Arabidopsis thaliana: one gene and its partners. The protein of the gene in region 1 purifies or fractionates together with the protein of each later gene. This does not show direct contact. Each region holds a gene or a part of one and is shown in the gene's direction. Other genes may lie near its edges.

Region 1 (7,922 bases):
TCTGAAAGGCATCTCTGCTGCTCCAATTCTGCAGAAAACAATTTAGCTCTCTTCTCAGCTTCTTTAATTTTCATTTCTAGCTCGGAGTCAAGATCGTCTTCCATACACTTGTACACGTTCCTACTCCGTATACAATTTTGCTGGTGCCCTCCATAGTCCTGCGTATAATACTCGTTAACAGGTTCATAATGTTCAGCTAGTGAAACATTAGCGGCGATATCTGAGCTCGAGTCAAAAGTTCTGTTAAGGGATCCACCATAGACATCTTGAATTGTGATTGGTTCGTGGTTTGAACCCTTTGACTTGCCATGAGTCTGAGAGAGTCTTTCAATGACATTTCTAGCAACCGAACGAGGCGATCCATGCCGCAACCCATTATCCACACAATCAGCAGAAGAGTAACGTAAATGGGTGCCTTTAGCTTCTCTAAATGACTGGGACTTTCGTTTCTCATCGAAAGTGTCTGATGGTGATGTAGGGACTGTCCATTGAACTCGGGGTGGAAGCCTCCTTCGATTTATACTCTCAGAAACACCACTGTGTGAAGAATTACTCTTTTGCTTGCACGGTTCCAAATGCTCTTCTCCATCAATATAACGGTCCAGAACTTTACTAGAGACATTACTCGAACAAGATGATGAACTCCCAGACGAATCATGCTGAAACTTGTCTGCTTTACACTGCCTTTCTCTAACTTGTCTTTCTGGAGTAAAGCATCTGGTACACAGTATTCATTACATTGTTTGTCAGTGGTTTAATCAAATATAGAACCAAGATAGCGAAAACATTACAGAAAATCATCAAAACAATCTCATAAGAATGAAGAAAGGCCAAAAGCATACCGAGATGAATGATTGCGCCGCCTATCCTTGCTTTTAGTAGCACTAGTTGTTAGTTCATTCTTGGAAGTTTCTCCAAACTTGTCAAAAAGGAAACCTGCAGAGGACCATGAAAGGCTTCGTCTAAGAGCTAGACCACCAGAAACTTGACCATGTGACTTAGGACTATCGAACTCTTGTTCAGCCTGACTACTAGCTTGGGTTCTCATCTTACTATCCGCTTCTTTTTCGCAGTTAACTTGTTTATCATTTCCATTACCAGAAGATCTGAAAAAGAAGAGCTTTTTCATTGTTTTCTCCAATCAAAAGGTGCTATAACAACTGCAGCTGCAATCAAAACATATAGAAGCAAATCAATAGATTGTAAGATATCTCCTGCACTAAACTAGGAAAAGTTCACATTTTGCAGCAAATTAGTTCATGTCAATCTCCAAAAAAAGTGCTCCAAGTGAATCTTACAAACAATTTGCTCGATGAAAGATAAACCAGTTCAACAAAAGAAATGAGAAAAAACAGCATAAATGATCTTAGACTCGAGATAATCAACTATAACTCTACTCAGAGATTCAGAAACTCAAGACTTATCATAGTAAACATCGAGCCAAGGCCTAAAATAAAAGACCAGACTACCCTAAGCATCTTCAAAGCTACGATAAACCCTAGAGACTAATCAAATCACAAATCGAACCTAAATCCTACTTGCGGAGAAGTTGATGAAGATTATGTTCGGCGAGATTACTCGAACACTAACAAAATCTAGAAAGGCTCTCTCTTTAAACGATCTCAATCGATTTCGTCGCCAGAAAATCCAACTCTACTCTCTCTACTCTCTTCTAATAGTTGGAAAATTGAAAGAAAAAGGAAAAAAAAACACTGAGAGGCGACAGCTTTTTATGACGACACAATTGGCTTTAAAGAAAACCAAAGAAACACAGAGAAAAATTTTAAAATTTCAAAAGGGAAGATCTTTAGAATTTATGAACATACCATAAAACAGCGATTTTGCAAATCGAAAATTCGAATGGAGAAGAAACTGAAACGCAGATTTAATAACAGCGCTAGATAACGTGGATTTGATCTAAAGGGAGAAGTGCAAGAAGTGTGAGAGTGTCTCGTTGACGACGAAGAATCCAAAAGAACAAAACGGCTCCAAAAATCTTTATTGGCGGTGTGATAATGTAAATAGAGTATCCAGTGAAGGGTATTTCTGGTAACCTTTTTAAATCTTTCATTGCGCGGCGGATAGAGCCATTTGGACTTTTGGAGGAGCGGGGCTACAATTATTTGTTTTTCACTAACAACACATAACAGTGATCAATAACAACATTGGAAAAACTTGTAAATTACAAATTAAATGTAGGGTATTTAGTTGTTTTAAGATAAGTATAATAAAATATATAGGTTTGAGTGATATGAGGTAATTATGATACAGTTTTGAAGTGATAACGATAAGAATTGTTGGTATGATACCGTTTTTGTTGTTGATAAGCTTTGAGACCGGGAAGGTGTATGTATACCACCATACCTAATACTATAAATTACCAACTACGCTCATAATCAATTATATAATTATAAATTTGGTATAAAAGTCGAGAAATCTAACAAAAATGATAAGGTTATTTCTCAATTTACTTTCATGCTTTATTTTTCTTCTTTATGTTTGGCAATAGCACCTAGTATTTAAACAATACATATAGTATTTCGACACATAGTTGCCCGTAATAAATTGAAATAATATAAAAGAGAAGTAATGCGTTATTTTAGATAGAAATCTGACATCATATATTTATAATTATATTTTCTATAAATAAAATATTATCTATATATAGTTTTTTTACACTTGGAATTATATATTGACCACACATCATGTGTTAAATTTTTTTTTTTTTTTTTTTTTTGCATTGATACTTTGGCCATATTTTAGTTTTACTCATAACATATTAGGTATAATCACGATCAGTCCTAATATTTTGAAAGCCCAAAAAAAAAAAGACTTTATTTTGAGATATTTTTTCACAAGGTAAATTTAATTTCAGTAAAAAAAGGGTTTTTAATAATTAAAAATATCTGTATATTAATATTTTGTATAGACTAGTTATATATTAATCAAAAATTGGGAATCCTAGACTATTTTTGTTTCATCAACTGGACCTGGTACTGGATCAAACGTTGCTGCAAACTAAAATGACAAAGCCCAAAAATCAAAACATACTCTCGGTTAGGGATTAGATCAGACCGGACGGTTTCCTACCTTTTCAAACGCTGTCGTTTTGAACTATAGAGTACCACAAACCAACGACGCCGTTTCACTTGGCACTATTTATTTCTTCTGTAGTTTTTTTTCTTCTCATACATATATCAATCAATCAAGATCACCACCACAAGGCAAAATCTAAACTCTCTCTGCAAAATTTCTGCTAACTTCTTCCTCCCATTTTCTTGCCATGGAAATCGATTCCGCCACCAACGGAAACTCTGACACCGTCATGACGGAATCCGCCGCTACGATCACTCCGTCGCCGGTCGTCGTCTCGTCTTCGAGATCGAATCAATTTACGGAATCTCTCAAGCTTGAGCACCAGCTCCTCCGCGTTCCTTTCGAGCATTACAAGAAGACGATCCGTACCAATCACCGTTCTTTCGAGAAAGAGGTCTCAACCATTGTTAACGGCGTCGGAGAATTGGCTGATTCCGATTGGTCTAAAGACGATACCGTTTCGCGTCTTACTTGCCTTGTTACTCGATTACAAGGCCTCAAACGAAAGGTTGATTTTTCCGTCTCTCTCCCTCTGTGATCGGTGTTTTAAATTATGTAGACGAAACTGAATCAATTAATTTAGCGATTAAAGTTTCTGATTTTGCTAAATGATATCCACTTATCTGTAAAAAATTTGATCTTCGATGTTGAAGATCAAAGTAAAGTATCTGTCTTTGGCAATTATGTCTCACTAGACATTGGATCTCGATGAATTCAATGTAGTGGTGGAGTTGGTTCATTGGAACTTCCCATCTGACTATTTGCATTGTCTTCTAAATTTTTATCATTTGGGATAGTTTCTATATCTTCTGGAGTAACATCACATGGATATGGCCTGGCTTACGTATTTTTTTGGTTTTGTATCTCAGTTGGAAGAAGGGAGCAATGTGGAGAATTTGCAAGCCCAGAGATGTCGTGCTCGCATCGATCATTTGGATTCAGTAGATGTGGAAAATATTACTGAATGGAATAATACCAAACTGAAACGGATTCTTGTAGACTACATGCTGCGGATGTCATATTTCGAGACTGCTACAAAGCTTTCGGAAAGCAGCAATATTATGGTTTCTCTCATCCTCTTGACACTCATTATATCACACTATTATGCTATATTGCTGTCTTGGTTAATATATCAGAACATATTCTTTGCTGTTTCGTTTTTACAAGCAGTGAAACAGATTTGTTGATTTGTACTGCATCTCTATGAAATGCTAATTATAAATATCTCATCTTTTCAGGACCTTGTCGACATTGACATATTTCGAGAAGCTAAGAAGGTGATTGATGCCCTTAAAAATAGGGAGGTAGCTTCTGCATTGACATGGTGTGCTGATAACAAAACGCGGTTGAAAAAGTCAAAGGTACGTGCTCTATGTACTCTCATGGTTAAGTTTTACTTTCATTTTTTATGAACTCCATGTGGTTTGGCTAAAGTATCCAATTTTTTACCAGAACTCTATGTATAATTGTTCATTGCTAATTATATATTTTCCTTTTCATAACAGAGCAAATTTGAGTTCCAACTAAGGCTGCAAGAATTCATCGAGTTGGTACGAGTTGATACAGCTGAGAGCTACAAAAAAGCAATCCAGTATGCTCGAAAGCATCTGGCATCATGGGGAACAACCCATATGAAAGAATTGCAGCATGTTCTGGCCACTTTGGCTTTTAAAAGTACCACAGAATGCTCAAAATATAAGGTGAAGTTTTCCTTCTTTTGATTATATAACTGTTGAAAATTGACGCTTCAACTTGTATCTTTTCCTAATGATTGATTTTGTCTGAAATGGCCCAAAAACGTGGATATAGATTTCACTGTTTCTTTCATACACCAGGCTGCTTCAGTAATCTTTTTCGTCTTTGTTTATTGCCGAATTAGTTGTGTTACTTTCAACTCTTGTCGAATCTTAATTGATCATTGCATGTATTTAGGCTAATCAACTAACAGATATGTTTTTCTTTTTTCTCAGGTTTTGTTTGAACTACGACAGTGGGATGTTTTAGTTGATCAGTTTAAACAAGAATTTTGCAAGTTATATGGCATGACGATGGAACCCTTATTGAACATCTACTTACAGGCAGGCTTGTCTGCGCTGAAAACTCCGTAACGATCAAACTCTATCAAAATTGATGTTTTTGATTGTCTATTTTCTGCATCTGATAAAGGGGCAGAAAGTAAGTTTTCGAAATGACACCCTAATGTGATTCTTACTGGTGGGTTGCGTTTGTACCTTGATATGACTCAGATATGGTTTAGAAGAAGGTTGTACCAAAGAGGACCCTCTCTCACAAGAGAACTTTCGGAAGCTAGCTTTGCCTTTACCGTTCTCCAAGCAGCACCATTCAAAGCTTGTTTGCTATATTTCTAAGGAGCTAATGGACACAGAGAACCCACCACAGGTGCTGCCCAATGGCTACGTCTACAGCACCAAGGTTTGATTCTGTTCTTGTACAACTTCAGCTTCTCTGTTCTTTTTCTCTTTTTAGAATCTTTTTCTATTAGCTTGATCAGTTACATCAGTCTATCCTATACAGTTCAAAAAATTTAAAGTTGGGTTACTTTTTTTATTTATTTGATGGGTAAATGAACTTGCAGGCTCTCAAGGAAATGGCGGAAAAGAATGGAGGTAAAATAACATGTCCAAGGACAGGGCTTGTCTGCAACTACACGGAGTTAGTTAAGGCATATATATCATGAACCCATATGCTCATAATCCTCACTTTGGTCACCTTTTCAATGGATGACTGGGAGGACAGTATTAAGGCCAAAGAAACTGAAATTTCCAACTTTCTCCATTACTCTTTGTGAATATGCACTTGCAGATAAAACTTTGCATCACTTTAGAAACAGCTCGTTCCTTTGTATATCAAGCCATTTCTTCATTTCAGTCTTATGACAATTTTCTAGTCAACATGGTTTTAGTGGAAACATGTTTGGCTGCTTTGCTCTGATATTTTTATTCATGTTTTTCTTCTTATCCACTAGTAGTTTCTGTATAAATCAACCGGCAAAGTACACTTTATTGTCCCACTACCATTTCACAAACCACAGTTCCGATTCTACTATCAGTTTCCTCACTTGAGGTGTATAATTTGGTTCTGTCTGGTTTCATCTATTTGGATACCATCCTGATTCAACATGTTCATCATTTCTCTTTTGTTTGTTGGCTTCGGAAATGGAACGAGGTATAATTCCGGATTAAGAAATAGAGTAACACTAATCTTTTTATTCACTCCAATATCTCAATTTATTGGTATATTGCTATCGTAGAGACTGTAAAATCGATTACATTGTCTCTGAAAGCAAGGTTGTGCAATAATGATTGAGCCATTCAGCTGCAGATCTCAGTACACGAAGCTCACCGTATAGGAGATCTCTTGCCATCTGCCTTCTAACAGCAAATCTTTGTGATACAAAATAGCATTCTTCCATTTCCTGCAAAGGCACCCACCAATAAACGTTTTTCAAAACCTACATTGTCAGTCATTGTGTGGAAATTAGTTGAGTAAAGCGTTCTATAGTACCTTGATGCAAACACTATGATCCTCAATCAATCTGTTGATGTGAGACAAGAGGATCTTATGTGCCTCCAACTCTCTGTTCCCGTCTTTAAAAGGAAGCCGAGCTAGTCGGCCATCATTTTGTGCAGCTTCTTTTGACAAATCATTTAGCTCTGAGAATCAACTATACTGTTAATACTTTTGGAATTAGCCTCGCAAGATGATAAAAGAGAGTGACTAATTTGATTTGAGCACCTTGGGGAATGATACAACAGAGAACACGAGCAAATGCACGGAGAGATTGTGGAATGCCTTTTCCTTTCCCTATAGCAGATTTCACTTCCCTGAGAGATCACCAAAAGTACACTTAGATACACATGTAAAAAGCACTGTTACTGAAACCAATTCTAAAGAAGTAGGTTCATTGGTATTTTCCTATCCACTGTTCACATCACTCTTAACTGCTTTCTTACTATCTCCCATGTTTCCATTCTTTGAGTACGGATATTGATATGTAAGCAGTTAAGAACTTGTAATGGCTTGGTAACATTCTAAAGCTAAACTTTAATACCTACTTGATTGTGAAAGTATCACAAGAAGAGTGAAAGATATTGATATCTTTGACAGTTCGAGTGTGATGTGTCTGGAGAAGTCCCAGCTTCATGTTGCGAAGAGGATCATCATTCGGTACATCCATTTGGATTTGAACCTATAAGTCACCGCAGCAGTATCAGTTTGATACTAATCCTTAGATAATGACTGTGTGAAGTTTCAACATCCCATTCAGTCAATTAAATGACAATCAAGTTCAAGGTTGGTGAGTAGCATCTTCAATCCAACATCTATAGATCAATGTTGTTACGGCTACGGTCATGATATTAGAAAACAAACCTCGTCATGAATGTTGTAAGGAAAGGTAAATCCAAAATCTAACATGAGTGTAGCATTTGAGAATTCCCCATACTTGATGAATACCTACACAGAGATATTTGGTAAGCTTCAACAAGCCCATGAGTTTTAACCAGTCACTGAGATCGACCTCAACAAAAATAACATTCTTATAGAATCTAGTGATTATTAAAAGAAATAAGTAATGCATCCTCTGAGAAGTGAATCTCATCGTGTTATAATCTTACCTCATCACCAGGACTGTAGTTGCGATCTGCAGTGACCTGCAAAGTTGAAAACTTGAAATCAAAATGTACTGGCTTGTTTCAGTCTGTGTTGCAAGCCTTTAGAGTCAAGAGAAAGTAATACGGAATAAAAAACCATGCATTTTACTAGATCGATGTACCACATATTTAACAATAAGATTATGCTGATGT
Region 2 (7,128 bases), on another chromosome or scaffold:
AAACTTTAGATTTTCTTTTTCACACAAAACTATTGATTAAGAAGTATTATTACTCGCATTAAATATTATACTTTAATTTTCTCATTTTTATTTTGTAAGATTATTCTTTCTCTATTTATTTATTTTCTGATATATTGTTAATTGTTGTAGTTTTTTCTTCTCACTGAAGGTTGAGAATGGGAGGAACAAAGAAAGTCTTGGACATTACCATTGTCAATTTGAAAAATTAGATTACCGCATAAGTCTCTGATATACAACCAAAAATATTTAGTTTGGTCGTTGCATGGACTGTCGATATTTCTAAAAAGTAAAAAACCAATGATAAGTCATCTCTACTCCATTTTTACTGTTAACCCAAATTTTGTCCTGACAAATCATGCGGTGTATATACATAGTTCTCGGGCTTCCAAGATTCTTGGAATCTACTTGATCTCTGTTGTATCGTCTAATCTACAGCATGCAAGGAAAAATATTGATTTGTGAAGAATCAAATAATGATGATTTCAAACATCAACATCAATAAAAAAGCAAACATACTTCTGGCTTTAAATTTTGAAAACTATAAATTCACATTTTACATAGAAATACTCCAAGATACTGTTCTCAAGATCCAACTAAGAACAATAAGTTAAAAAGGACTTCAAGGGAATTGACTTCTATATGCTTTTTTTTCTCTGCCAATTTATTAATACTTTGAAACTTTGATCTAAAACTAACATGTGGTATCAGAGCTTCTATATATATAGAAGCTTTAATACCCAATGTTAGGTCTAGATTGAAGCTACAAAGTACAAGTTCATTGGCAGAATTATTCATTGTGGCTATTAATCAATTTTAACATTTTTATATACACATCACTCTTGCCAACTAGATCCACAAAAGATCCTACAAAAAAGGAATTCAAATATATTTTGGAAAATCAAGTCCTTACTTGATAAGGACGATTCTTGCTCCTTTAATTTGTTAACAAGAAAAAGAAAAAATATCTCATATCTCGGATTAATACCTCACAAACCGACCGATTTATGTATTTCTGATTTGGTTTAAGTTCAGGTTCAATTTATAGAGAAGTTGGATTAAAAAATAACCAAGGCCTATGTATTAATGTTTTTTTTTGCAAGATTATGCGCTAGGTTGCATGGAAACTCGCTCCGAGGTGCGTTTCTCGTTTCCGAAACGTTTCGGAAACGGAAACTCTCCGGAAATACGAAAAACGTCACGGAAACGCGTTTCCTAAAAATCTAGGTTTAGAAACACGATGGAAACTTACGTTTCCAAAATAGAAACTCACGTTTCCGAAATAGACATACGACAAATCTTTTTTATTGACTTTAAAAATTTAATAACTAAAATTGAAAATATTAAAATTATTATTACATATAAATAATTTTGGAAGACTTTGAGTTTTAAGATCTTTCTTTTGTTAAACCAGATTTGAAAAGAGCTTTATATTATCTTTGATAAAACTAATGAAAATGTTGGTCTAAATTAACTATTTGAACTTGAACCTTTTAATTTTTATCTTTTAGAATTTTAGTTTATTTATTTAATATTGATATTTTGGACTTGTATTGTTTAAATCATTTTTTCTTTAATATAGTTTTATGTTAATGTTATATATATATATATAATGTTATATATATGTATAAATGTGTATACGTTTCCAAAACGTTTCCAATCCCTAATTTTAAGAAAAAATCGTTTCCCGTTTCCGAAACGTTTCGTATCCGCATTTCCGTTTCCGTTTTCATGCAACATAGATTATGCGAATGATTGCAATTTACAAGTAACAACTTGAGAGATGTACGTTCACTATGTCGCGAAGAATTGGTGAGGAAATCTTTCGTAATATTTTGTTATCCAATGGTATTTATCTCGATTGTAATCGTTAAATCATGAATGGATGGTTAAATATTTACCAAATAAATAAAAAGAAGAAGAATAATTAAAATTTATATATTGGTGAGCAAATATTATTATTCCGATTAAATTATACTTTTTAATTGTTGTTTTGTAAAATTGTTCAGTTCTGTTTTGTTTTGTAGTCTCTATTATCATCAGAGTTGTTTAGTTTGATCGTCGTGTGGACTCTTGACAGTCCTCATAGTCTACTAAATCTAAAACCAATGATAAATCAACTAATTAATTAAATAATCATGTCTATAAAGTATAAACTATATTTTTATGTGTTAACCCATCCAAATCTGCAAGTCCATACAAATTGACTCTAAATATATTGAAGCTGCAAAATCAGCCAAGTACAAAATTGACTCTAAGTATATTGAAGCTGCAAAATCAGCCAAGGTTACGCAATATAATCATATAGCGATCGATGCATCAGAATAATAAGTTAGAAAGCGATATCAATTGCAAAATAGTATAGAGTAGTATAAAAATATGAAAACACTCTGAAGTTGAATGCACCAAAATCTAAATGCATTGTTTTGTCTGCCAAATTGACTTCTATCTAGAAGCTTCTAGTGTGAAGCTCTGATACCACTTGTAACGTCCAAATCAAAGCTTCGAGTTACAAGTCAATTAGTAGAATGATTTATTGTTTTTGTTTCTTTTACTTATGAAAAGACTCTAAAGCAAAGCGAAGGAAGAGATGAGGAAGAAAAAGATTTGCCCAAACGGCAAACACTAAATTATTTAGATTGATGTTCTATTGTTCATATGAACAATAACGTCTATATATATGTGAATCTGATTCGATAGAATAACCTAATTACTTGGGCTTTTTTTGGGCTTATATTGATTTATCTGACAAGTCTGATCCCGGATAAAGTTCATGATTTGGTTAAGTTCGGTTCAATTTAAAGAGAAATTATATTGGGCTTTAAAACCCAGGCCCATATAAAAACGACTCACGTGGTATTATTAATAACCGGAGCCCTAGACCCGCCGTGAAATCGAGCGATTGAGAGCACTTCGCAAAATCAGAGCGACAAAAAAAAATAAAAACCAATCCTTTCGATTCCAAATTTTTTGTTACTCACTCGCACGAGTTTTATTTGGTCGTTAGTTATCTCTTTCGTTGAATAACGGTTTTAATTTAAACCGTTACTTTTTATCAATGGCGACTTCGTCACCGTCTCTGAGTAACAATGGTCTTTCCTCCGTCGTCACGCCTCCCAAAACTCTCCGTGGTCTCAATAAGCCTAAGTGTATTCAATGCGGCAATGTAGCTCGCTCCAGGTATTGCTTCTACGCATTGTTTCATCGAAGGACTTAGGTTTTTTACATCTGGGGTTTCGATTTATGGATTGTTCTTGGGTTTTTGATCTGAAAGGATTCGAATTTGTCTTGTATAGTACTTTTTCGTTTTGATTTAGGGTTCATAGGTTTGTGGGTTTGGGTTTTTATTCATGATTTGGTGATTAATCTGTTGGAGATTGTTTAAAGTTTTGAGCTTTAGTATCGAAAGATCAGTTTTTTGAGATTATTGGTGAAGTAATTGTAATTGTATTGCTTGGATTTGATAAATGCAGGTGCCCTTTTCAATCTTGTAAGGGTTGTTGTTCAAGAGCAGAGAATCCCTGCCCGATTCACGGTATGTTTGCCCTGTCAAATCTCAACTTCATAATTAGCTAAAGTGATCAGTTTTAGAGTTTAGTGTTGATAACTTTGATTGGAGAGTTCTATTCTTTCACTTGGTAAGTTTAGAGTTTAGTATTCTTGACTTCTATAGGGTTCGTTTGGTTGTCTCGGGACAAAAAAACCTATAAAGAACCATAAGACTGATTCTTGGAATGTGCTTGTGATTAGCTGAGAGATATAGAGATGTTATCATGGACTGTTTTGTGTTTCTTCTTATGTGTTTTATTTCGCTGCAGTTCTTAAAGTAGCTTCAACGTCTGGTGAGAAGACGCAGGCGCCAAGTACTCCATCTTCAGAGCAGAAAGCAACCGAGGGCACTCCCGGGTACATATATATAAACTAATTTTCTGTTTTGTTTGTGCTTCCATGGGCAAGTGAATCTTAGATGATAAACCGGTGTTTGCTTACTAATACTTTGATAGGAGATTCTTCAGCTTTCTTGTTTTATTGCACGTAGTTGATAGTGAGATGATATATTGGTCTTGTGGAACTAAAATATGGCGCTTTATGTTGACGTTTTCTTCTTTTGGAAATTGTTTCAGGAGTACCACTAGAGTTTCGTCAATCCGGCAACTTTCTAGCAACTTTGCTCAGTTTAATAACCTGAATGCTTCTTCCCGCCAGAGAAAACCTTTGACGATAAAGGTATACTAATTAAGACGTCTTTCATTGACTTTAGTACTCTATGAAAAATCTCCATTTAGTTGTTTTCCTCTTATCAGTTTTTGTTCTGTCTATATTCTATAGGATGCTCAAGCTTTAAACGAGTGGCGGTTTACAAAGCTAAAAGAGTACAGAGACAGAAACATTGAAGTAGAAAATGAAGCTTTTGATCGGTACATGAGTAATGTGAATTTACTCGAAGAAGCATTTTCATTTACATCTGTTCCTGATGAAGAGAGTCATGGAACAGCAGCTCCTGAGCAAAACAAAGAGGAAAATATTGTTTCAGAGCTTAAACTGAGGCTGAGATCGAACTCTGCAAGAACAGAGAGCTTTAAGAAGCGGATCGCGGAGACAGTCAAAGCCGGTTTGGTGAAGCTTAAGAGACTGGATTTAGGCAGTTCTTCAGATGATCAAGATGATATCAAAAGGCGGGTCAAAAGAAAGAAATGGGAAGAGAAAGGTTCAGCTTTGAATGAAATAATCGATAAACTGAACAAAGCAAGAACCGAAGAGGATCTCAAATCTTGCTTAGAGATGAAATCAAAGCTCTGTGGTCAAGTTTCTCCCACTGCTGCTTCCGAGAAGAACAAGATCTTTCCGGGTGTAGTCCGAAAAGTTGAGATGAGTGAAGAAGCACTTCAAAAAATCGCTGAGAATCTCCAATCTTTTGACAAAGTTGGAATGTTGTGAAGTCGAGAACATCCTGTGGATGAACTGAAAAGTTTGAGTGGCAAGAAAATTTCTAGATCCTTCGTGACCACGGTATTGTACAATGATCAAACATCCCTCAAAACTGATCCTGAAGACTCCAAAGACTCAAGAGATTCTTGTAAAGTAGTGTTGAGCATCATTTAGATATTAGAACTCAGCCATGGATAAAGCTGTTGATTCTATCTCATTGGATTTTTTTCACTGTGTGTTGTTGCTTTGTTAGATTTGAAATTGCTCATTGGATTACCTTTGACTTAATAAATAGTTGGTTTGGTTTGGTATTGGATAACCGCTCAGTCTAATTAGACCGGTTTGTTTTTTTGGAAAAAAATGAATCCATCCATCCATAGGCCACTTTCAACACGTATATTTGAAAACGACTAAAACCAAACTCTTAGATTCTAGTTTTGTTTTGCTGCCCCAATTCCACTATTGATCAAAACATATCCAAAAGTTTTTGTGGAACTAAAAAGTAAAAATAACGTTTAGTTTGTTTCCAATTTCAACCATATATATCTTATTCATATATGCATGTTGTGGTTGTCTCGTGTGTGTAGTATTCATTTACATTATGCAAACCAACTGGAAACATGTTGAATGGGTTATGGGTTGGTGGTTGGGACTTGAGGATCAAACAACTCAAATGAGCTCATTATAAGTTAAGCTCTCAATAATCATTAATTTATTTTTGTTACCACCTAATATTTCTACGAAGGGTTGGTGTAACAATTTTTAATTGTAAGATAATTGTGTAATCATTTTCAATATTAATTTTTATTATGTATTTATTTTAAAAAGTTATATAATACGTAACACATTTAGTACTTGGTTTTGGTAGCTTCATCAATGTACCATCCGAAGTTCCAAAAAATAAAAAAAAATGTCGATTTCACCGTTGGTGAAAAAGAAACTAAATTGATATGTATTATTCATTTTTTAGAAGAGATTATGGGTTTAAATCTGAAACTTCTTAGTTAAATTTTTAATTAATTTATTTATTTTGCATGCTTTATTATATATTTGAAATTAGAATCTACATGATTAATGATTTTTTTCTCAGATAGAATAAAAAATATATTTACTGATAAATTATTCTTTTACATCTTTCCGGATTCGCTACTAATGTGTTTTTGTTAACTTTAACCAGATTGCTTATGGATTATGATATATAGTATCCATTACTTAAAAAGTAAAAGAGATGAAAAACCAAGAATAATTAATGTCACCAAACTATCAACAACAACAAAAAGAGAGTGTAATATTCAAGATAAACGAATCCTATTATATAAAAAAAGGTGGGAAGAAGTTGCTGTCTAATGATGTAATTATGTTAACTAGTGTGCTAAGGAAAGAAATCAAGCAAGTCTCACACATACACATGTTATGACTTATGATTAGCGACAAGCATTTCATTTTATTTTATTTTTGCTAAGCAAACCTTTTGTTTAGTAAAATAGACAATGTGCAAAAAATTCCAAACTTCTTAAATTGAAAAAAATACTATATTTAAATTTACCTTTTTAAGTAAGAAATTAAAAGATTTTGTAGTACACTACATGTTTTAAAACAACCACTATCCAAACAAAAACTTGGTCACCGAATAAACTGTAGAAATATCGATTTCCGTCATTTAAATTCACTTTATTTTTGGTTGTTTTTTTCTTGGAATATGCAAGAGTAATGGCGTGGTTGAAGACACGAGAGAGAGAGAGAGAATCCTAAAGAAAAAGCCAAAGCATATTAAGAAGAAGAGAACCAAAACGAACAAACCCAACCCTAAAGAAACACTATTATTAAACCTATATTTATAGACATTTAAAGAGAGAGTGAAAGGTGCAGAAGAAAACAGAGACAGAGTTCAAATACCTTAAGATCACATCATCATATAGCTTTTGTATCATTAAAATGGCAGTTCAAGCTCAACACCATTCCTCCAATCTCCTCTTCCTCAATAAAAGGTTCATTTTCTCTCTGTAAATTCATTATTTGCTTTTAGTTTTGCTTATTGATTACGGTTTTATGTTTCTTTGTGTGAACAGAAACGGGAAAGAGAAAGAACATAGTAATTTTACATTACAATCACAAGCAGCTGGAGATTTTCTTGATCAAACCAATATGTTATTCAACAATGGAAGTTCGTAAAAGTTCTCT
Region 3 (7,558 bases), on another chromosome or scaffold:
TGCAATCTTATGCAGGAGGCCTTACAAAGAGAACTGGAAAAAACAGTGTGTATACTCGTTACTGAAGGTCTCCCTAACTGCCCGTCCAGGGAGCTTTTCCACAACTCGCAGTGGATTAGGACTGCTAGCCACGTAAACGAAGCAATCCATACAAGCCAGACTGGAGAAAAAGGTATATGGCTATACTTTTTACTGACACAGAAAGTGAAAAATAATGAGCTTATCTACCAAAAAACAGAACCAGTTGTTTATGATGGCCAAAAGTGTCATAATTACAGTCCCTAGTTGCTCTCATGTGTCTTTCAGATTTCCAGCTCTTGAAACTTTGTCAATGTACCAAGTGAGATGATGATGATGTTATGTTTTGTGAATTGTCAACAGGTCCTGAATTGGAGCGCTTGTTGAAGGAGCTGATTTGGACTCAGAATCAACTGGATGAAAAAACAGTCTATGTGTATCCACGCATGAATGATTTTTCCACTGGCCAGCTCATATACCGACCAGAATGATTCTTCTTCCCTTTCAACAACTAACGGCTCTGCAAAAGGGAACATATATAGTGATATATAACTGATCTGTCGCAAGAACATGATGACCATTTCTTCCTAGTGAGTATTTTGAGTGAGGGGGGAGTTTTTAGCCTTGCTCTTATGATTTAGGGATTTTCTTATTCATGACAATATTGGACCCCTAGGTAGTACTAATAACAAGAGAGGGTTTTTGTTTTCAAATGTTGGTTTACTGGTTAGGCTTTTATTCTCCACCATGGTATGGTTCCTATAAAGCTACATAAGAATTCATTTTGAAGTTTGTTTGGTGTGTGACCGAAGAACCAAAAAAAAAAAAACAGTTGCTCATTCTTTGTCTACTTATCTCACTATTCGGCAATGCATATACGTCCTAATCTTTGTTTTGCTTATCTTAGTTATTCTATCTCTCTCCCTTACCTAAAAAGCTGGCTTCAAAGGACTTGACGGATCGTTTATAAAACAGACTAGTCATAAACATAGATTTATATTCGAGATGGCTTCAAATACGAATCTTAAACTGTTTATAGTATATATAGTATCTAATAGCTGCGGGTGTTGTGAAAGGGAACTTAGTGTTGACCATGGTCATGGAGTTTAACCAAGAAGTTTGTTGAACCAAGGATTCACACAATAGATTTGTTTAGAGAGGGAAAACAAATCTAGTAATTTCTCTTCATTAGGTATTCTATCCAAGACTCGATTACAAGAGGGGTTCTAATCTCTTATGAAATACATTAGGGTTTTGCTCAAGAACAGAAAAAGAATTAAAGTTTTAAAAAGGTATAGCTGCATCCATGATGGATTGCCTACGTACCCTGTGAAGGGATCAAGCCATTCGTAGTTCTCAATAGGTATAAAGTTCTATGTTTCTTGTGAATATCCCAAGATCTCCCCCTTTTTGTGAAGTCCCTAAGGCACTTTATATAGGATCCTTAAACCGCCTCCCTAGCGATATTCTTCGGAAGATTCTTATTTATCCTTAGGTCGGTTCTAGAGGATAATCGTCCTAAGGATATTCTCCTTATTCTTCGGAGGTTTTGGGGAGATTTCCTGATTTCGACATTATCTTCAAAGATTCTCCTTTATCATTTCTGAAAGTCCCATAAAAGATCCCATTTTACCGGAAATGATCCTTGGAGAATGAATGGTTTTTACAAGTCTTTGCCTCGCGTGTTCTTCACGGCTCGGTGGTCGTTTGAGAGGTGGCTTCGGGGCAAACGGTATGTACCGGCTCGGGGCGCGCTTGATGACTGTCCATTAAGCTCAGTTGGCTGTCTCCCGAGCCGATATAGATGTGTCCCGCAGCGTTCTCACGATTGGCTCGGGCTGTGTTCATATGATTAACACCCGAGCCATTTTACAAACTCTCTTCGGGACGGTCGATCGAATAAGGTCCCGAGGTGCTTTGTTCTAGGCTAGGGGCCAATCATATGTTTAACCATGAGGTGATTGTTATTCTTAGACTGTTTGGCTCGGTCTTGCTTGTGGGGGAATCCGACCCCAACGAAGTTGTACCTTGACGGAAGAGAGCACGAATGGGATCGGTGCGGGTGTCTGGAAAGTGCCTGAAGAAGGTTCATGTGATGATCAAACTCTGGAATGCTACTGGGAGTACTGACTGTACCAAAACCTCCTCCAACAGTGCCACAGGGAACAAGCAAGCCCCATATCAATGTGTGATGAAGTTGAAGGAGCAGGGTCGTAAGGTGGACTTCCACAGTTAGAAGGAGGCTTGTGTGATGGAGGAGCTCCATATCCTTCGTCATAGTACTGATTTCCGGATCTGAATAAAGAAGCATGGCATCATTTGGAAGTAAGAGATCACATGAGAATACCATCCCTAGAACCGAGAGAGAAAAGTTTATGTTAATAAATTTTTATTGTATAATTGATATTGAAAAACATTAATAAACAGTGTTCACATAAGGTGTAAATTCACCCCAAAAGCACTCTAAAAAGTAAAAACCAAAAGAGAAAAAAACATAGAAATGGTTACTTAATAATATACCGAGTTTCATCTATTTACTTAATAATATACGGTTATTTGATTTACCGGTTAACTAAAAAATATCTGGTTTAATCGTATTTATTGTTGGCAAACACAACATTGGGCGCGAAGTGGTTTTTGATGCCCTTCAACAACATTTGGGGGTTTCATTTCAATCGCATTTCTAGGGTTTCTTTCTCTACGATTCAATAGATTCGGACGAATTGGGGGATTCTGACCAGAGAGAAGCTATGGAGGAAAACGAAGAGGAAGAAGAATTGCGGCCAACGGCGCTATACACGGTCGGTGGTTCAGACGAATTTACCTTTGTTTCTCCCGATGGGCTCTCCGGTCAATACACGGGCCCTGATCACGACGGCGTAGTTCTTCAGACTGAAAATCCGGCGCCGACTAACTGTCTTGCTTACTACTTCGAGGTTCATATCATGAATGCTGGTGAAAAAGGAGAGATCGCGATTGGTTTCTCCAAGGAACACATCTATAGCGAAGGGTATCGTTTTCTTTCCCTTTCAATTCGCATTTACCACTTATTGCGTGATTTGATACTCAATACAATCATTGATTCTGTTTGATTTGGTACCTGAGACTGAGAGAACAAATTGGGAAATAGGTTTAGATACAATGGTAGATCAGTAGTTCAAATCACTGTTTCAATGGTTTGGATTCGTTACTTGGAAATAGGTTATGTGATTTGCTGCTCAATTTGATTGTGTTGGCTGTTAGATCTGGTATCTTACAAGTTAATGGGAGATTTGCTTTGTTAGATGTTTTCACCTTTCAGTAATTAAGCATTCCAATTCACTGTTTCATGTTTCTCTGTAATGTTAGATATACTGTCAGAAGCTGTGCCTACATTGGTAACAGTGGACTCATATGCTCTCAAAATGGAGATGGTGATCGAACTGTTGCTAAAGCCAGTGACACCTATACAACAGGTGATTTAGTTGGTTGCGGTATAGACTCGGTTTCACAAGAATTCTTTTTCACGTAAGTAATAACTGTTTCCCTATCTGAACATGTTTCATTACAATTGGAAAAGTAGATATCAAGATACACAATTCATTTCTTCATGTCACAATGTTTTTGACATGTCCCTGCGTATGTTTTACTTGCTGACATCTATGACTACTTCTTTGATTATAGGAAAAATGGAACTATCGTAGGGACAATCCCCAGGCAATTTAGGCGTCCTGTATACCCGACAATTGTTTTGCATAGCCAAAACGAAGCTGTCACTGTCAATTTCGGCGGACAGATTGCGTTTTCTTTTGACTTTGAGGTAAGGTCGTACTTTTCTTTTCTTGCATAGTCGGAGAATAACTATTGAGTAAGCAGAATAATATGCATCTCTCACATATGTCCATATTTGCATGTATGTGGCATATTTTTCTGATACAATATTCTATTATCTGATCCACCTTTATTTCAGCATTTTGAAGAATCATTGAGGGTTAAAAAAGAAAGGGAAATTGAAAAGATTTCCATGTCTCGCAGCATTAGTCATGGGTAAAGTGTCTTTTCCTGCCTGTTCTTAATTGTAATTCTTGTTTCTGTTTGTGCTAAAGCTTCCTTTTTCCAGGCTTGTAAAAACCTACCTTCTTCGTTATGGATATGAAGATAGCTTTAGAGCTTTTAACCTGGCTGCAAGTCGTCATACTGTTATTGCACAAGAAAATAGTTTTGATGAGTATGAATTGCATCAAAGGAAAAAGCTCAGAGAGGTACTTTTCACTGCTATGGTTATCTTGCTGTAATTTTTTTTTTATTTTTTTTCTGTGAGGTACAAAATCAACCAAAAGCAAGCTACATTGCTACATCTTTTCTGTTTCATATCGAACTGATCCATGCATTCTGTTTGTTAAAGCTTATAATGACTGCTGAGATTGATGATGCTATTGCTGCACTCAAGGATAGATATCCCCAACTTATTGAGGTGGGCTGAGTAACTAGTTAATATATCGAGTGATTCACATTGTTAACATTCCTTGAACTATTTTAACAAGCTGCTTGTATCATATGCAGGGTGGATCAGAAGCTTATTTTCTTCTTATCTGTCAAAAGATTGTCGAATTAGTACGGGTATGTTCTTTATTCCTTGTATATTTGTTACACATATCCATGGTGTGTTTCTCTAACTAACTACAATGCAGAAAGGAGCAATAGCAGAGGCTAAGTCATTTGGAAATCAAGATTTTAAAGACTTTAGGGATTCAAGCCTACTAAAAAACCTTTTCGATGTATGTAGTGATTCTCTAACTGTTAGATTAGGTTTCTCATATTTGAGTCACTAATAGTTTTGTTTTTCTCTATTTCAGGATTGCTCTGCTTTGTTCGAGTGTGAAACTATAGAAGAATCAGGTGCTGCATATCTTCTAGGAGAAACACAGAAGAACATAGTAGCAGCTGCAGTCAGTGAAGCGATTCTATCTACAAATCCGGCCACCAGAGACCAGCAATCTGCTTCACTTGAGCGAGTGCTTAGACAGTTTGAAGCCACCTGCTCACTCTATGCTCGTGAATAAAATCTTGACTTTTTCTGTTTTTCTTTTTATCTTTTCTCTTGATAGAGTCATTGTGTAAGCTCAAATGTTCTAAAACTAGCGATCATACTTTAACTTGATTCACAACTATATACGAGATTATATTGGAGCTTGAAAATTTTTATTTACAAGTATTTATCTACAAATCGGCAAATATTGAGCTGCTCATACTAATTTTGATAATTTAATCGGCTACAAATTTTAATGACATGTTGTTGTTAGCTGTAAGTTAAAATATGAAATCGAAAGTCTTTTGTTTATTGCTTTCAACTTAAGCCTTTGTGATTACAAGCTATGTCTATTTATACATCTAGATTGATTTAACCTAGTGTCTTCTTGATTTGCATAGCTGTCACTTGGCTGTTATGTGGCGTCGTTGTCTTCACATGATTCAAGAGCCTCATAGCGATTCCTCGTCGTTACTTCCGTACTGCGTGGAGATAAGGACCGCTCTGCAACTTTTCTGCTTTTGTCCTTTGTTGTTGCAGGTTGTCGTTGCACTATGTTGGGCTTGGCTCTTGGATTGGGCACTTGTTTCGGATTGGGCTTTAATGGTTTTGAGCCCAATTCCAAAACTGTGTCGTTTGGAGCTGTTCTGTTGATACTCCCCCTCAAACTTGGAGGAGGTGGGAAATCGACACCAAGTTTGAATCGGAGAGATTCGAAAGGAGCCTTGGCGAGAGACTTTGTAAATATGTCAGCGAGCTGTAGATAACCCGGGATATGATGGACGATGAGCTCACCAAAAGCTACCTGCTCTCGGACATAATGATAGTGAGTTGCAAAATGCTTTGTCCGAGCATGAAACGATGGATTCGCTGTAAGGTAAACGGCAGAGAGGTTGTCGCAGAAGAGTTCGGGGAGCTATAACTGCGGAACACCCAAATCACGAAGTAAATTGACTAGCCATGTGATTTTCGAGGCTGTATCGGACATAGAGCGATATTCAGCTTCGGTTGAGCTTTTGGCGACTGAGACTTGCTTTCGAGAAGACCAGGAGATTAAATTGTTGGCAAGAAATGTACAGAAGCCACCGGTGGAGCGACGTGTACCATGACAACCGGCGTGATCACTGACACTGTAAGCTCGGAGTTGACAATCTGTGTCCTTGTTGAATGAAATTCCCATGGTTGTTGTTCCTCTGATGTATAGGAGAATCCTTTTGAGGAGAAGAAAATCCGACATTGTAGGGGCGTGCATCTTTTGGCACACGTAATTAACAGAGAATTGGAGGTCCGGTCTAGTAAGTGTGAGGTAGTGCAGCTTACCAGCCAAACTTCTTAAATATGATGGATTGTCGAAGAGCTCGGTTTGATTAGGTGCTCTCTCAGGTTGAAGTGGCAATGGTGTTGCAACAGGAGAACAGTTGGACATTGCAGTTGTAGCTAGAAGATCTTCTACATAATTCTACTGAGAGAGAAAAAGACCTTTTGGATGAAATTGCGCCTGAATACCAAGAAAATAACTAAGTCTGCCCAAATCTTTCATCTTGAACTGCTTATTGAGCTCATTAAGAAGACTGGAGATAAGTTTTGAGCTATTTCCTGTGATGACAATATCATCAACGTATAGAAGAAGCATGATCACATCCTTGTTCTTTACGTAGACAAAGAGAGAAGGGTCAGACATACTGTAGGTAAAACCAAAATTGAGTAGGAATTTGCTGGATATGTCAAACCAAGCCCTTGGAGCTTGTTTAAGCCATAGAGAGCTTTATGTAATAAGCAAACATGATCAGGATGAGCATTGTCAATGAATCCTGCTGGTTTTCTCATGTAGACCGTTTCAGTGAGATCTCCATGAAGAAAGACGTTTTTGACATCCATTTGTTTGAGTTCCCATTGCATGATAGTAGCTAGATGAAGCACAACTCGGACGGTTGCAGATCGAACTACCGGACTATATGTCTCGAGGTAGTCTATTCCTTCTTCTTGTTTGAAGCCTTGAGCAACTAGTCGAGCTTTGTACTTATCTAATGAGCCATCTGCATTGAGTTTGATCCTGAAAACCCATTTGGAGCCTAGCACATGCATCTTTGGTGTAAGAGGAACAAGTGACCAAGTGTGTGTTTCAGAGCAATTTCCCATTTCCTCTACCATAGCAGCAGTCCATTTTGGATCTTTTAATGCTGCAGTTACTGTTTTAGGCATAGGATATGAAACTTTGTGTGTGAGAAGAGCATACCGTTGATTTGGTTTGATAATTCCTTTCTTTAATCTCGTGGTCATAGGATGAGTGGATTCTGTAGCTGAATGAAGAATGTTGGAGGTTGGTTGTTCATGCCTAGAGGATGATGAGAGAGCGTTGTTGCCAATAGGATCAAGATCGGAGCTTGCCGTACACTCAGAACACTCCTCATTTCCCGTAGACAGAGTTTCAATTTCTTCAGCATTATCTTGAGAAGGAATGATTCACAATGGTGTAACACAGACCGGTTCACTTGGTATGTCTTGATTGTTGTTATGAGGTGTTGTCTCCCC
Region 4 (7,421 bases), on another chromosome or scaffold:
ATTTGTGCGATGACAAGTCAGCCACCACGTTAGAATAACTCAGCTAATCATCGAATTAATCTACGATAACTCAGCTATAACACGAATTGAGCGATGATAAGTCAGCCATTACATCGATTTAACCCATAATTAACAGTGTGCATTCAATATCATAGATTCATACAAACATAATTCTAATCCTAAAGCGTCAATATTTAGTACAATCACATGCTAAAAATCCCAAAAGACACGAACATATGTTCGAAAAAGCCAATCACGTCTCTAGAAAACGTGCAGGCATCCTTTCCGGTGCTTCATCGAAGATCTTTGCTGCCACCCTAACCCGTAGAACCTGGATATTTGCATCAGTAATGCCATCAAAACAAACACCAAGCAATAAATATTCAAGAATCTTTAACGCGTAAACGCCGCAGTCCCCTCTGATATGATTTTGCGGGACCTTTTTCTTGTCCCTCCGCCGGAATGAAAATTGGTCGTATTGCGGGGTACGGACTTCGGAAGGAAACAGTTCGTTAATCATCTGTGGAATCATCCTCGTGAACGGCCTACAAACTTCCAGCATCTTTCCATCGATATCGTCTGTATGCTCTCCGACGATGCAATCATAGCAATCGATGTGAGACCTAAGCAAGTTCACGTGAAGGGTCACCCAATGATTACCTCCGGTTTGGTGGATAATATACAAGTGATCCACATCTGTTATCAACTTCTTCCGTGTTGCCACTTCTCTTCTCATACCGTTAATCCACTATTGATACGCGGTGTCTTTGAAAAAAAAACTCTTCTGTTAGATCTTGAACTGATTGTAATCTGTAACCTAATAAATCGTGAACCACGGGTCTAGAATTATGACGCGTTCGTTGTGGTATGGGCAGGGATCTCGCTGGAGCCTCCGGGCGAGGACTTTCATATACGCAGCAATATGCTGTACAAAAATAAAACCAACCCAGACAAAAAAAACAACAACATTAACTCACCATTATCTACTTTAACTCAGGCAGAACAATACCATAACTTAGACATAACCAACTACAACTCAGTCTGCACACCAGAATAAACCAGCTATAATTTATTTAACTCAGCCTAAACAACACGATAACTCAGCCATAAAATAGACAACCTCAGACAGAATATAACAATAACTTACTTCATCACCCAACCATCCATAATTTGAATCTGGCCATAACTTTCTTTCGGTCATGAAAACTCCGTAGAAATCAACCTCGTCTATTCCATTTTCCAACGATTTTTTGCTAACAAATAATAAAAGAAAGTTAATATACACAAATAGTGTAAGCATGTCGTACTTAACAACTTATTAAGGTATAAAGGGTCATACATGTCGAGACTTGACAAATAATCCTTAAGTTTCTGCATGCAATTTGGACTCAGAATCAACTGGATGAAAAAACAGTCTATGTGTATCCACGCATGAATGATTTTTCCACTGGCCAGCTCATATACCGACCAGAATGATTCTTCTTCCCTTTCAGCAACTAACGGCTCTGCAAAAGGGAACATATATAGTGATATATAACTGATCTGTCGCAAGAACATGATGACCATTTCTTCCTAGTGAGTATTTTGAGTGAGGGGGGAGTTTTTAGCCTTGCTCTTATGATTTAGGGATTTTCTTATTCATGACAATATTGGACCCCTAGGTAGTACTAATAACAAGAGAGGGTTTTTGTTTTCAAATGTTGGTTTACTGGTTAGGCTTTTATTCTCCACCATGGTATGGTTCCTATAAAGCTACATAAGAATTCATTTTGAAGTTTGTTTGGTGTGTGACCGAAGAACCAAAAAAAAAAAAAACAGTTGCTCATTCTTTGTCTACTTATCTCACTATTCGGCAATGCATATACGTCCTAATCTTTGTTTTGCTTATCTTAGTTATTCTATCTCTCTCCCTTACCTAAAAAGCTGGCTTCAAAGGACTTGACGGATCGTTTATAAAACAGACTAGTCATAAACATAGATTTATATTCGAGATGGCTTCAAATACGAATCTTAAACTGTTTATAGTATATATAGTATCTAATAGCTGCGGGTGTTGTGAAAGGGAACTTAGTGTTGACCATGGTCATGGAGTTTAACCAAGAAGTTTGTTGAACCAAGGATTCACACAATAGATTTGTTTAGAGAGGGAAAACAAATCTAGTAATTTCTCTTCATTAGGTATTCTATCCAAGACTCGATTACAAGAGGGGTTCTAATCTCTTATGAAATACATTAGGGTTTTGCTCAAGAACAGAAAAAGAATTAGAGTTTTAAAAAGGTATAGCTGCATCCATGATGGATTGCCTACGTACCCTGTGAAGGGATCAAGCCATTCGTAGTTTTCAATAGGTATAAAGTTCTATGTTTCTTGTGAATATCCCAAGATCTCCCCCTTTTTGTGAAGTCCCTAAGGCACTTTATATAGGATCCTTAAACCGCCTCCCTAGCGATATTCTTCGGAAGATTCTTATTTATCCTTAGGTCGGTTCTAGAGGATAATCGTCCTAAGGATATTCTCCTTATTCTTCGGAGGTTTTGGGGAGATTTCCTGATTTCGACATTATCTTCAAAGATTCTCCTTTATCATTTCTGAAAGTCCCATAAAAGATCCCATTTTACCGGAAATGATCCTTGGAGAATGAATGGTTTTTACAAGTCTTTGCCTCGCGTGTTCTTCACGGCTCGGTGGTCGTTTGAGAGGTGGCTTCGGGGCAAACGGTATGTACCGGCTCGGGGCGCGCTTGATGACTGTCCATTAAGCTCAGTTGGCTGTCTCCCGAGCCGATATAGATGTTTCCCGCAGCGTTCTCACGATTGGTTCGGGCTGTGTTCATATGATTAACACCCGAGCCATTTTACAAACTCTCTTCGGGACGGTCGATCGAATAAGGTCCCGAGGTGCTTTGTTCTAGGCTAGGGGCCAATCATATGTTTAACCATGAGGTGATTGTTATTCTTAGACTGTTTGGCTCGGTCTTGCTTGTGGGGGAATCCGACCCCAACAAAGTTGTACCTTGACGGAAGAGAGCACGAATGGGATCGGTGCGGGTGTCTGGAAAGTGCCTGAAGAAGGTTCATGTGATGATCAAACTCTGGAATGCTACTGGGAGTACTGACTGTACCAAAACCTCCTCCAACAGTGCCACAGGGAACAAGCAAGCCCCATATCAATGTGTGATGAAGTTGAAGGAGCAGGGTCGTAAGGTGGACTTCCACAGTTAGAAGGAGGCTTGTGTGATGGAGGAGCTCCATATCCTTCGTCATAGTACTGATTTCCGGATCTGAATAAAGAAGCATGGCATCATTTGGAAGTAAGAGATCACATGAGAATACCATCCCTAGAACCGAGAGAGAAAAGTTTATGTTAATAAATTTTTATTGTATAATTGATATTGAAAAACATTAATAAACATTAATAAACAGTGTTCACATAAGGTGTAAATTCACCCCAAAAGCACTCTAAAAAGTAAAAACCAAAAGAGAAAAAAACATAGAAATGGTTACTTAATAATATACCGAGTTTCATCTATTTACTTAATAATATACGGTTATTTGATTTACCGGTTAACTAAAAAATATCTGGTTTAATCGTATTTATTGTTGGCAAACACAACATTGGGCGCGAAGTGGTTTTTGATGCCCTTCAACAACATTTGGGGGTTTCATTTCAATCGCATTTCTAGGGTTTCTTTCTCTACGATTCAATAGATTCGGACGAATTGGGGGATTCTGACCAGAGAGAAGCTATGGAGGAAAACGAAGAGGAAGAAGAATTGCGGCCAACGGCGCTATACACGGTCGGTGGTTCAGACGAATTTACCTTTGTTTCTCCCGATGGGCTCTCCGGTCAATACACGGGCCCTGATCACGACGGCGTAGTTCTTCAGACTGAAAATCCGGCGCCGACTAACTGTCTTGCTTACTACTTCGAGGTTCATATCATGAATGCTGGTGAAAAAGGAGAGATCGCGATTGGTTTCTCCAAGGAACACATCTATAGCGAAGGGTATCGTTTTCTTTCCCTTTCAATTCGCATTTACCACTTATTGCGTGATTTGATACTCAATACAATCATTGATTCTGTTTGATTTGGTACCTGAGACTGAGAGAACAAATTGGGAAATAGGTTTAGATACAATGGTAGATCAGTAGTTCAAATCACTGTTTCAATGGTTTGGATTCGTTACTTGGAAATAGGTTATGTGATTTGCTGCTCAATTTGATTGTGTTGGCTGTTAGATCTGGTATCTTACAAGTTAATGGGAGATTTGCTTTGTTAGATGTTTTCACCTTTCAGTAATTAAGCATTCCAATTCACTGTTTCATGTTTCTCTGTAATGTTAGATATACTGTCAGAAGCTGTGCCTACATTGGTAACAGTGGACTCATATGCTCTCAAAATGGAGATGGTGATCGAACTGTTGCTAAAGCCAGTGACACCTATACAACAGGTGATTTAGTTGGTTGCGGTATAGACTCGGTTTCACAAGAATTCTTTTTCACGTAAGTAATAACTGTTTCCCTATCTGAACATGTTTCATTACAATTGGAAAAGTAGATATCAAGATACACAATTCATTTCTTCATGTCACAATGTTTTTGACATGTCCCTGCGTATGTTTTACTTGCTGACATCTATGACTACTTCTTTGATTATAGGAAAAATGGAACTATCGTAGGGACAATCCCCAGGCAATTTAGGCGTCCTGTATACCCGACAATTGTTTTGCATAGCCAAAACGAAGCTGTCACTGTCAATTTCGGCGGACAGATTGCGTTTTCTTTTGACTTTGAGGTAAGGTCGTACTTTTCTTTTCTTGCATAGTCGGAGAATAACTATTGAGTAAGCAGAATAATATGCATCTCTCACATATGTCCATATTTGCATGTATGTGGCATATTTTTCTGATACAATATTCTATTATCTGATCCACCTTTATTTCAGCATTTTGAAGAATCATTGAGGGTTAAAAAAGAAAGGGAAATTGAAAAGATTTCCATGTCTCGCAGCATTAGTCATGGGTAAAGTGTCTTTTCCTGCCTGTTCTTAATTGTAATTCTTGTTTCTGTTTGTGCTAAAGCTTCCTTTTTCCAGGCTTGTAAAAACCTACCTTCTTCGTTATGGATATGAAGATAGCTTTAGAGCTTTTAACCTGGCTGCAAGTCGTCATACTGTTATTGCACAAGAAAATAGTTTTGATGAGTATGAATTGCATCAAAGGAAAAAGCTCAGAGAGGTACTTTTCACTGCTATGGTTATCTTGCTGTAATTTTTTTTTTATTTTTTTTCTGTGAGGTACAAAATCAACCAAAAGCAAGCTACATTGCTACATCTTTTCTGTTTCATATCGAACTGATCCATGCATTCTGTTTGTTAAAGCTTATAATGACTGCTGAGATTGATGATGCTATTGCTGCACTCAAGGATAGATATCCCCAACTTATTGAGGTGGGCTGAGTAACTAGTTAATATATCGAGTGATTCACATTGTTAACATTCCTTGAACTATTTTAACAAGCTGCTTGTATCATATGCAGGGTGGATCAGAAGCTTATTTTCTTCTTATCTGTCAAAAGATTGTCGAATTAGTACGGGTATGTTCTTTATTCCTTGTATATTTGTTACACATATCCATGGTGTGTTTCTCTAACTAACTACAATGCAGAAAGGAGCAATAGCAGAGGCTAAGTCATTTGGAAATCAAGATTTTAAAGACTTTAGGGATTCAAGCCTACTAAAAAACCTTTTCGATGTATGTAGTGATTCTCTAACTGTTAGATTAGGTTTCTCATATTTGAGTCACTAATAGTTTTGTTTTTCTCTATTTCAGGATTGCTCTGCTTTGTTCGAGTGTGAAACTATAGAAGAATCAGGTGCTGCATATCTTCTAGGAGAAACACAGAAGAACATAGTAGCAGCTGCAGTCAGTGAAGCGATTCTATCTACAAATCCGGCCACCAGAGACCAGCAATCTGCTTCACTTGAGCGAGTGCTTAGACAGTTTGAAGCCACCTGCTCACTCTATGCTCGTGAATAAAATCTTGACTTTTTCTGTTTTTCTTTTTATCTTTTCTCTTGATAGAGTCATTGTGTAAGCTCAAATGTTCTAAAACTAGCGATCATACTTTAACTTGATTCACAACTATATACGAGATTATATTGGAGCTTGAAAATTTTTATTTACAAGTATTTATCTACAAATCGGCAAATATTGAGCTGCTCATACTAATTTTGATAATTTAATCGGCTACAAATTTTAATGACATGTTGTTGTTAGCTGTAAGTTAAAATATGAAATCGAAAGTCTTTTGTTTATTGCTTTCAACTTAAGCCTTTGTGATTACAAGCTATGTCTATTTATACATCTAGATTGATTTAACCTAGTGTCTTCTTGATTTGCATAGCTGTCACTTGGCTGTTATGTGGCGTCGTTGTCTTCACATGATTCAAGAGCCTCATAGCGATTCCTCGTCGTTACTTCCGTACTGCGTGGAGATAAGGACCGCTCTGCAACTTTTCTGCTTTTGTCCTTTGTTGTTGCAGGTTGTCGTTGCACTATGTTGGGCTTGGCTCTTGGATTGGGCACTTGTTTCGGATTGGGCTTTAATGGTTTTGAGCCCAATTCCAAAACTGTGTCGTTTGGAGCTGTTCTGTTGATACTCCCCCTCAAACTTGGAGGAGGTGGGAAATCGACACCAAGTTTGAATCGGAGAGATTCGAAAGGAGCCTTGGCGAGAGACTTTGTAAATATGTCAGCGAGCTGTAGATAACCCGGGATATGATGGACGATGAGCTCACCAAAAGCTACCTGCTCTCGGACATAATGATAGTGAGTTGCAAAATGCTTTGTCCGAGCATGAAACGATGGATTCGCTGTAAGGTAAACGGCAGAGAGGTTGTCGCAGAAGAGTTCGGGGAGCTGTAACTGCGGAACACCCAGATCACGAAGTAAATTGACTAGCCATGTGATTTCCGAGGCTGTATCGGACATAGAGCGATATTCAGCTTCGGTTGAGCTTTTGGCGACTGAGACTTGCTTTCGAGAAGACCAGGAGATTAGATTGTTGACAAGAAATGTACAGAAGCCACCGGTGGAGCGACGTGTACCATGACAACCGGCGTGATCACTGTCACTGTAAGCTCGCAGTTGACAATCTGTGTCCTTGTTGAATGAAATTCCCATGGTTGTTGTTCCTCTGATGTACCGGAGAATCCTTTTGAGGAGAAGAAAATCCGACACTGTAGGGGCGTGCATCTTTTGGCACACGTAATTAACAGAGAATTGGAGGTCCGGTCTAGTAAGTGTGAGGTAGTGCAGCTTACCAGCCAAACTTCTGAAATATGATGGATTGTCGAAGGGCTCGGTTTGATTAGGTGCTCTCTCAGGTTGAAGTGGCAATGGTGTTGCAACAGGAGAACA

Evidence for each region.
Region 2: the proteins of AT3G55070 (region 1) and AT1G32730 fractionate together in Arabidopsis thaliana (co-fractionation; one large-scale study listed by BioGRID). This does not show direct contact.
Region 3: the proteins of AT3G55070 (region 1) and AT4G09310 fractionate together in Arabidopsis thaliana (co-fractionation; one large-scale study listed by BioGRID). This does not show direct contact.
Region 4: the proteins of AT3G55070 (region 1) and AT4G09250 fractionate together in Arabidopsis thaliana (co-fractionation; one large-scale study listed by BioGRID). This does not show direct contact.

Annotation. Positions count from the first base shown.
Region 1 is NC_003074.8:20,405,094-20,413,015, forward strand, and holds AT3G55070 (LisH/CRA/RING-U-box domains-containing protein), read left to right. Parts: upstream 1-3,180; 5' UTR 3,181-3,283; coding exon 3,284-3,604; intron 3,605-3,965; coding exon 3,966-4,160; intron 4,161-4,334; coding exon 4,335-4,457; intron 4,458-4,601; coding exon 4,602-4,796; intron 4,797-5,066; coding exon 5,067-5,200; coding exon of another isoform or gene 5,201-5,204; exon of another isoform or gene 5,205-5,342; coding exon 5,343-5,529; intron 5,530-5,692; coding exon 5,693-5,794; 3' UTR 5,795-6,271; downstream 6,272-7,922. Other genes in the region: AT3G55060 (CAP-gly domain linker), read right to left, coding at 1-717, 843-1,129; AT3G55080 (SET domain-containing protein), read right to left, coding at 6,383-6,532, 6,622-6,770, 6,853-6,941, 7,173-7,306, 7,489-7,572, 7,734-7,769.
Region 2 is NC_003070.9:11,838,001-11,845,128, forward strand, and holds AT1G32730 (electron carrier/iron ion-binding protein), read left to right. Parts: upstream 1-2,909; 5' UTR 2,910-3,076; coding exon 3,077-3,198; intron 3,199-3,491; coding exon 3,492-3,553; intron 3,554-3,836; coding exon 3,837-3,924; intron 3,925-4,142; coding exon 4,143-4,245; intron 4,246-4,347; coding exon 4,348-4,956; 3' UTR 4,957-5,308; downstream 5,309-7,128. Other genes in the region: AT1G32740 (SBP (S-ribonuclease binding protein) family protein), read left to right, coding at 6,883-6,935, 7,017-7,111.
Region 3 is NC_003075.7:5,900,181-5,907,738, forward strand, and holds AT4G09310 (SPla/RYanodine receptor (SPRY) domain-containing protein), read left to right. Parts: upstream 1-2,632; 5' UTR 2,633-2,768; coding exon 2,769-3,028; intron 3,029-3,366; coding exon 3,367-3,525; intron 3,526-3,681; coding exon 3,682-3,817; intron 3,818-3,967; coding exon 3,968-4,044; intron 4,045-4,117; coding exon 4,118-4,259; intron 4,260-4,402; coding exon 4,403-4,471; intron 4,472-4,560; coding exon 4,561-4,617; intron 4,618-4,688; coding exon 4,689-4,775; intron 4,776-4,853; coding exon 4,854-5,060; 3' UTR 5,061-5,269; downstream 5,270-7,558. Other genes in the region: AT4G09300 (LisH and RanBPM domains containing protein), read left to right, coding at 16-172, 382-509.
Region 4 is NC_003075.7:5,872,941-5,880,361, forward strand, and holds AT4G09250 (SPla/RYanodine receptor (SPRY) domain-containing protein), read left to right. Parts: upstream 1-3,637; 5' UTR 3,638-3,746; coding exon 3,747-4,006; intron 4,007-4,344; coding exon 4,345-4,503; intron 4,504-4,659; coding exon 4,660-4,795; intron 4,796-4,945; coding exon 4,946-5,022; intron 5,023-5,095; coding exon 5,096-5,237; intron 5,238-5,380; coding exon 5,381-5,449; intron 5,450-5,831; coding exon 5,832-6,038; downstream 6,039-7,421.